Drosophila melanogaster: one gene and its partner. The protein of the gene in region 1 interacts with the protein of each later gene in a pairwise test. Each region holds a gene or a part of one and is shown on either strand. Other genes may lie near its edges.

What was found.
Region 2: the proteins of Obp56d (region 1) and CG13928 interact in a two-hybrid assay, tested with the Drosophila melanogaster proteins (one large-scale study listed by BioGRID).

The regions. Positions count from the first base shown.
Region 1 is NT_033778.4:19,702,110-19,705,495, reverse strand, and holds Obp56d (Odorant-binding protein 56d), read left to right. Parts: upstream 1-1,580; 5' UTR 1,581-1,745; coding exon 1,746-1,793; intron 1,794-1,863; coding exon 1,864-2,211; 3' UTR 2,212-2,572; downstream 2,573-3,386.
Region 2 is NT_037436.4:1,625,291-1,630,379, forward strand, and holds CG13928 (uncharacterized protein), read right to left. Parts: upstream 3,088-5,089; 5' UTR 2,660-3,087; coding exon 1,922-2,659; 3' UTR 501-1,921; downstream 1-500. Other genes in the region: GC (gamma-glutamyl carboxylase), read right to left, coding at 1-371.

The DNA of each region.
Region 1 (3,386 bases):
AACTTTTGGGGACAGCGAACTTCTTCACCAGGTGGAAAAGCTGGAAAAGTTGAATAGGCTACCTCCACCTCCTTGAACTGAAATCAAACTACTTGAGGAGTCAGCCACCGCTTCGTGTTTGCAGTTATTATTGTCTATAAATCGTTGGAAGGTCTCCGATAGGAGCTGTGGGGCATTATACACGATGACATTATGAATTTATTACTATTTAAATATTTTACTTTTGTTATGGCCCTGGCAGGCGACGATGGGCCGCAATAATCGTTCTGACATTTGTTTTCCCTGGCGTGCGTAACTATTTACCAGTTCGCTCCGGTAACTTCGTCTCCGAAAGTCCAGGGGGTGACCCAGGCACCGGTATATAGTTTGAGTAGGTCATGAATTATCGATGCTGTCAGCAGTAAATATTGATAAAATATATGAGGCAAAGTTCTGGCACGTAGGCATCAACTTTGGTAGCTGCCTCTATTACCATAATTAAATAATTCGGGCAGTTAGCCGACTTAAACGGTTCCGCTTAAAACTCATGCATAAATATATACATATATATACATACATCAGCAAATTACCCGAATGTCACTTTAATTGTTAATCAGCTAGACACATCTGTGCCACAAATTAATCTGCAAACCAGTTTAGTTTGATCGCACGGACTTGAGATTTTGAGAGTCATCTGAATATTTGGACTTTGATAACCGCACTTGACTTCAGACTTTGGAAAAAACCAACAAAACAATAAAAATAGGTAGGAGAACAACTGACAAAGTTAAAACAGGTTTGACGAATCAGACGTTCGTCATTAATTTTATCATGTAATATCAGACTTATTTCAAAAAAAGGGTCTATTAACAAAATTATTTAATTATTAATAATGGCATTAGAATCACCAAGAAATAATTTGTTGCGGTAATGAGGTAGCCTTATTAATATGAGACAAATTTTATAATGGTGGTATTAATAGATATATTTTGGTTATAAGGGTTATATATAGGGAATGAAGAAATATATTTAAGCGCAGACCTTATATAAGGCTTACAAATAATTCGAGCATCTCATGGCCTCCGTTAACTTATATTAAATTTTAAGTGTTACTAAAAATTTTTGTAAGTAATATAAAATGTTGCTTTTATATTCTATTCTCTAAAACTCCCCTATCATGCTTTGCATGCACTTTGTTTTAACACCTCCATAAAAATCAACGTTAGATTGTATTTCAAGTTTAAGGTTTTGGAGTTACGTGTATTGTTAAATCAAATTAGTTGACGTTGACGCTTCGCTGGGCACTCTGACCCTTGGGAAGTACAACACACTTTTAATCGGTGGAAAATCTGAAACTACAATTAGCACTTACATTATGGCTTTGAAGCGATTTTAGCCTAATAATAAGCCCGAGTCTGGGGCATTAGGGCCAATTATAGGTACAATGGAAAGCCGCAGTGAACTTGCTTCATTTACTGATTCGAGTATCTGTTGAACTTTAAACCGAAATGGTAAAAAAAAGTGAGTCAGTTTCGGGTTATCAACAAGATCGGAGAGGGTTTAAGTAAACTAACCGGTGTATTGCCGTGTGTATGTGTAATAATTGCTTATACAGTGTGATCAGCGGAGTAGAGCGAAAACAAAAAGCGATAATCAAAACAAAACTCTGACGAAGCTGCATGCAAAATCGTATAAAAGGCAGATGCTAACAGAATAAATTCAACAGTTTCGATACCAAAGGGTTTCCAACAACATCTCTACCGAAAATGAAGTTCCTGATTGTCCTCTCCGTCATTTTGGCCATTTCGGCTGCTGTGAGTTACAAATAGTTTCTGATTTAAAGGGGTAGTATTGCTAAGTGTATCTTTTGAATATATCTTATAGGAGCTGCAACTATCCGATGAGCAGAAGGCTGTGGCCCATGCCAATGGCGCCCTTTGTGCCCAGCAGGAGGGAATCACCAAGGATCAGGCGATCGCCTTGCGAAACGGCAATTTCGATGACAGTGACCCCAAGGTGAAATGCTTCGCCAATTGTTTCTTGGAGAAAATCGGATTCCTGATCAATGGTGAGGTCCAGCCCGATGTCGTTCTGGCCAAGTTGGGACCCCTGGCCGGCGAGGATGCCGTGAAGGCCGTTCAGGCCAAGTGTGATGCCACCAAGGGAGCGGATAAGTGCGATACTGCCTATCAGCTATTCGAGTGCTACTACAAGAATCGCGCCCACATCTAAGCGCCAAATCTCCGATATTCTCCTGTGTGATAATCTGTCTGTGACTTGTTACTTATATTGTTTTAATTCAGTATATCAATTCGTAAACAAAATTTTTAGATCTGTAAATGTTTTGAATAATAAACTCAAGAATATATTTCGTTTTTAAAAAAAAACTTGACAAGAAACCTTTGCGAGACTATGTTCCAAATAGAAGATCATGCTTAAAGCTTTTACATAACTCTCCTAGAATCTCACTTGGCATTTGTTAATATTTTAAATATTAATGTTAAACGTTTGATCAAATAACTTTTTAGCTGTCCAACAAAAACTTAAAGGAACCTTCCAGGAAAATAACTTACGTAAACCCCTAACAGAGAACGCCTTTTATTGTGTCTCAAAGGAAATTAAGGTGAAATTCTTATACATAATTACTTATGCATATTCGACTTGTCAATGGATGCTCCACTGTATGACCCATTTGCGTTTTGGCCGCGTACCCATTTGCATAACAGTGGGCCGTCATTAAGGACCAACCACTGTCAGACCGTCGTCAGGGGCTTAAGTCCCTGGTACAGAGCGGCGATCCCAGAGGCATTTGGCCGCTCATGTTTGGCATAAATATTGATGAGCGACGGCAAACTTATTGGCACAAAGACCTGGGATCCCGGCGATACAGGATGCGTTGGGGTTCGAGCAAATGAATTGGACACGGGGAGCCGTGTTTTTAAAAGCCCAAATCCAATTAACAAATCATTAAACATTCATTGAGCACGTGTCGCAATTGCATTTACTGGTTCAACATGGATCAGGTGGCATCGGAGGGAACAATTGTTCCGACTTTGGCTTTGACTTTGGCTTTTGGGGAGTTTGGATCGCAGCCAGGGTCCATAATTCATTTTGTCACTTCCTGGGGTCGGTCTGGCTGTAATGTCACTTCCATTTAGCATCCGTTTCAGTTGCAGTTGTCTGCACAAGAGCTGATGGCCGATGGCCGATGGCCTTCCCGGCCAACCGAACAAACAATCACTGATGCGTTTACTAATGTCTATTAAAAAGGCAGCCCAATCGAAGGATTCCACCCCCCCGAGCTAATGCATTTAAGTAGACAGCCATGGCGGCTTGTCAAAGGAGCCAACACGCGTGAGATGGTAGCACATTGATGCTCGACATCAGCCTTTGTCTTGGCCGTCTTG
Region 2 (5,089 bases), on another chromosome or scaffold:
CGCATCCCGTTGAACAGTGGAAAGTGGCAGTGTAGCGGCTCCTGAAACCGCACGTCCAGCTGGCCGCCACCTCGCTCCTCTGCGATGTCAATCAGCATGGCTGCTCCGTAGAGCAGACGGAAGATGCCCAGGGCAGCTCCATCTACGGGTCTGTTTAGCCAGCTGGTAAAGTTGGTCAGGCTAGTGAAGTTGCTCAGATCGTGACCGAGGCAATCTCGAAAGAATGCGTTTTGAGGAAGGAAGGACTTCTTGGCACTCTTGTGATTTACATCTGTGGGGAATTCTTCCGACGACCTAGGTGTATCTTTGTGCGGAGTAGCGTCCTCTGTGGCACTGGGTTTCGTGGGCAGCTTTCGCTTGGAGTTGGCCATTCTGCTGAATCTTGAATCTGTAAAGAATGCGAAAGAACACGTCCTTTGCAAGTATAGTAAACGTTATCCTTACAGATCTGCCCATAGATGACCCAAAGATCAATCCCCTCGAATGGTTGTTTGGTATTTAAGTTTTGTAGAATTTATTGAAAAAGTTGACATAAATACATGCATGCATATTGTTGTATACTAAATATATAATATATGTGTTTTACATTTCGTTTGCTGACTCTTGCGTAAATATCTACGGTTCTGTTCGGATCGCTGGCGTGGAGTCCACGGAAAATATTGCTGTCGGATCGGTGTAAAAAAATAGATCAATTACGAAATGTACATCCATTATACTCGGTCAGTGAGTTATTATTGCAACGGATTTGCCCAGCTTCGTTTCCTCTAGTTTCGTCTCTAGTCCTGTCCGTGTGGAACGTGTGTGGTAACTGTGATAACTGCCATCCGGGCCGGCGGACATCCCAACTGGGAGTGCCGGCCGTCGAAAACGCAAATGCATATATATATATACTTTCGATCTGAATCTGAATGGGTCTAGCTGCTGGCCAGTGTCCTGTGCAGTGGTTCGCAAAATGTCCAAACGTCTTTGGGAACAGGAACAAGCTTTGAAAATGCCTCAAACTACATACATATACGAATACAATATAAGCCGTCGTCTGCTTGAATATAGGTTTTGATATTGGTTACGGTTAAGTACTTAATGTGATAGGTAGTCGCACACGCGTCGTAGTAGAATCTCCGTAGGTCTGGTCGATCCGTAGGATCCCCACACCCCGGAAGTGAGTTGGAAAATGAAGATGAAGGGAGAACCTCGGTGCCTGGATTGACTGGGTTGAATGTTTGATTGGTAAATGGTTTAAATACGCGCCTGAATAACCGCTTTCGGTGTGTGTGTGTGTGTGTGTGTGTGTGTGAGTGTCTCTTTAAGTACGTTTAGTTGGTTTCCTTAGTTTTCTCGTTTTGTTTTCGGTTTACTTTAATTTAAGTACGACAGTAATGCATAAATGACTAATATTTTTTGCTTCACATCTATTTTACTTGTGAGTTTGCCATTAAAATACTTTTGGTTTTCTTTATCGATTTCATTTCGTTATTTACGCAACGCTAAAACATTTTAAAATGCATTTTCAAAGTTAATTCAATAAATATGCTCTTGGTTTTCCATTAGATAGGTTCTGTAAGCTTTTAAAGATCTAGACAATGTTTTCGAGTGTCGAAAATTAGCATACAATGGGGGCACATAGTTGCTCCTCCGTCTGCTGCTCCATCAATCAGCCCAAGTCGGCGCACTCGGGGGAATCCGCGGTGTGCTGCAGTCCGTATAGCAACCCTTGTTTGCCAGGCCGCGATGCAGTTCCTCCTCTTCCTCCTCCTCCTGCTGCTGCTGCTCGTAATCATTCATCCGCTCCCTGCGCAGGCGCACTCTCTCCCTTGGCTACCTGCTCTCCAGCTGCTCATCCTCCTCATCCTGCTCAGCCTGTCCTATGCTCCTGCTTCACCCTCGCCCGGTCACCGCTCTCCCGGCTGCCGGGCCCGTTCCTCTAGAGGCGATTCTGGTTGAGCTGGGAGCGCGGAGTGAAGGGACTGACCATCACGCCGCTGGGCCAGATGGCCTCGTTGAAGAGCTCGTTGAAGCGGTAGTCCGGAATGGAGATCTTGAACTTGCAGTACGACAACTGCGACAGGTTGGCATCGTTCTTCACCAGCTTGGTGCACTTGACCAGGTTCTTGTTGATCTTCAGCTCCTCGGCCAGGTGATCGATCACGTCCTCCTCGCTGGTGTTCGTGGCGAACTTGCCCACCTGCACCCAGCGCCCGTAGTCGCAGACCACTTGCAGTCGGTCGGAGTTACAATTGTTTCCTACCACAATGAGGTTGTTCTGCTGCGGATGCTTCTTCCCGTCCAGTCCGCCACCCAGGCCGCCGCCACCCACGCCGGCGGCCGAGGCGCCCAATGCCTGAAGCGGCTGGTTGCCAAACTGGAAGTACTGCTGGTACATACGGCCCTGGATCTGGTTGACCCCGTTGCACACCTTATTGACCTTTTCCTCGATGGTGTGCAGCTTGGCCGCGAAGGCTCGTGGCGACTGGTTTTTGCACTCGTCGCAGTGAAAGGATATCATCGAGTTCTTCTGGATCGCCTCGAAGACCGCGTCGTCGATGTTGACGCACGTGCGGTGGTACCTTCTCCGGCAGTCCTCGCCGCTGCACCCGATGCTCGTGGCCTCCTTGGCGGCGATCGATTTTTTGCACTTTGGGCAGTTATTGTTGTCGGCCATGGTGACTTTGGTTGGTTGATTGGTTAGTTGGCTGGCTGGTTAGTTGGTTGGTGACTATCGATTTCGATTCTGAATCCGAACCCGAGTCTGATTCAAGCAGGCGGAAAAAGAGAATTCGAACTTTCAGGAAAAAACACACGCACACTGTGGAGTCACACAGTGGGTATATACACTACGGCCACAGCAACAACGGCAACAGCAGCAGGCAGCAGCAATAACAACAAGCGAGAAATTCGAGCGAAAGTCGCCTCCTCTCCGCTCCACCCTCTCTCACTCTTCTTCCTGTGTCTGCGTCCGTGTGTGTGTGTGTGTGTGGCGAGTGCTGTGTGTGTGTGTGCGGGAAGAGTGCTGAAATCGGGAAAGAGAAAACACGCAGACGACCGAAACTTGACAACCGCACGCTCCGAAGTTTGCAGACTGACTGTGCGCGAGCCACCGATTGCGTTTCCGAATTCGAGACCAGGTCCGCCGATTCGGATTCGGAATAGAAGTCGGAATCGGATACACTCGGCACACCGTGCAATCCCAACACCACATGCAACCCCCGATAAAGCTGCCACGCCAGGGGTGGCTTTAACCACTATTCTCGCCATATGATTGACCAGCCGCCGACCCGACTGGCAACCAGTTTTGTTCTCGCCAGCACTCACCCCCAGTGCCACTCGATTGGGGCTCCTCTGCACGACAGTGTTGGAAATAGGGGTAAGTGCAGTGTGTGCAGTAGAAGGATTGAAACACCGTTACACCAGTGATTTTAAGGTTATATGTTTTTTTCACATTTTATACATTTGTATATTTAACTGGCCAGATTGATGAAACATAATATAATCTTGGATATGATATGTTAGCATAACATTTTTACTGTAGTTTGGCATCGCTTTTATGCTGTATAATTATAAATCGCATATTCTAAAGATTTGTATTGTATATGATAGATTGTCCTTGAATGTGGAACTAGAATTCCAAAATAATACTTTAAATACTACCATGCTTTCGGAAGTAGCAATAACTTTACTTATAGTACAAATCGTACGAAGAGCACTACTTACTTTGTGTTGTTATGGCCAATTAAAGCGGAAATGGGGTCAACTTTACATACAAGTCGTTATATCAAATCCCCGGCTTACAGTCACTTCTGCTCTGCTCACAATCGCTTTTCAAGGCAATTAATCAAATTCACACCCGTAATTTGCTGCAGTTGGGGCAGTAATTGGGGCCGTTATACTGCTCCCTGCAGCGCGCCACCCGCCGAGTGCAACTGGCAACAGTTGGCCGTTTCCCGGATGAACTCTCACCTGCGGACGCAGCGACTGGGAAAAGGGAATCGCGAGCAACACGGTCCGCCAACTGAGGCTGTGCGCACGAGCTGCGTGGTATTTATACGCCACTCTGCTCCACTCGGAGATGTGTCCCTTCTGCTTTTCCTTTCCCTAATCCTTGGTGTCGCAGAGGGGATGATGGCCAAGTGATGTGGGCGGAAGTGGGGGTGTTTGCGCATGTCCTTGCCGGGAAATGGCATCGAAGTTGATAACAATAAACAAGTGATTTTTCGTTGACTGCGAGTTGAGACCTCAGAGTTACCAGGAATGCAGGGACTTACAATTATGCATTTTTCAAATCGATTTTTAAATATGTTAGCACATATCAAGTATACATACGAGTGGAACTCGCAATTTAAATCTATAAAATTTGTAGAACACCAACTATTTGAATAGCAAGTTTCTAATAGAAACCAATATACCCCTGGGAAAAAGTTGGGAGGTGTTAGAATGGCAGGAAAATGCAAATAAAATTTGCAGGTGCTGCGGCAGCAGCTGTTATTGTTTGCCATCCGCCGCCAGGATTTGCCTGGCGGACACCTGCGGTAATTGGGTTTCATTAAGTGCTGGTTGCCGGGCGGCTTTGGTCCTGTTCCGTCGCAGGGGCCATCGATTCCTTTGTGGAGCCTTGTTAGCGCCGCTCCAATTTCGCGTCGCCTGCATTGTCAATAGATTTTAATCAGGTGTGGCAAGTGTGTGTGTGTGTGTGGTAAATAGGCGCCTGGTGCTCCCCCACTTGTCTGACATAAGCGTAGGCTCCCCACCGCAGACGGGTTTCTATTTCCATTACCCTGTTTGCACGCTGTCTGCGCCCCAATTGGTATTTATGTATGCAGACCAAGTGCGCAGTTTAGTGCGCTGGATAGTATGCTACACTTTTTGTGTGCTCCTATTTTTAGGCAGCGCATCCTTTGTCGCCCAATTTGGGAGTTAATCTGGTTCACGAGCTTGGAGAACATGTCAGCATTGGGAAATTTCCACATAATTAATATTTAAAACAATGAAGTTATTGTTTTCATTTAAATACCCACCTACTTCAATCAATATGCTTACCCAGCTTTAGAAAACACGTTGGTTTTGTTTTTATTTATTTATTTAAATAATTATGTAT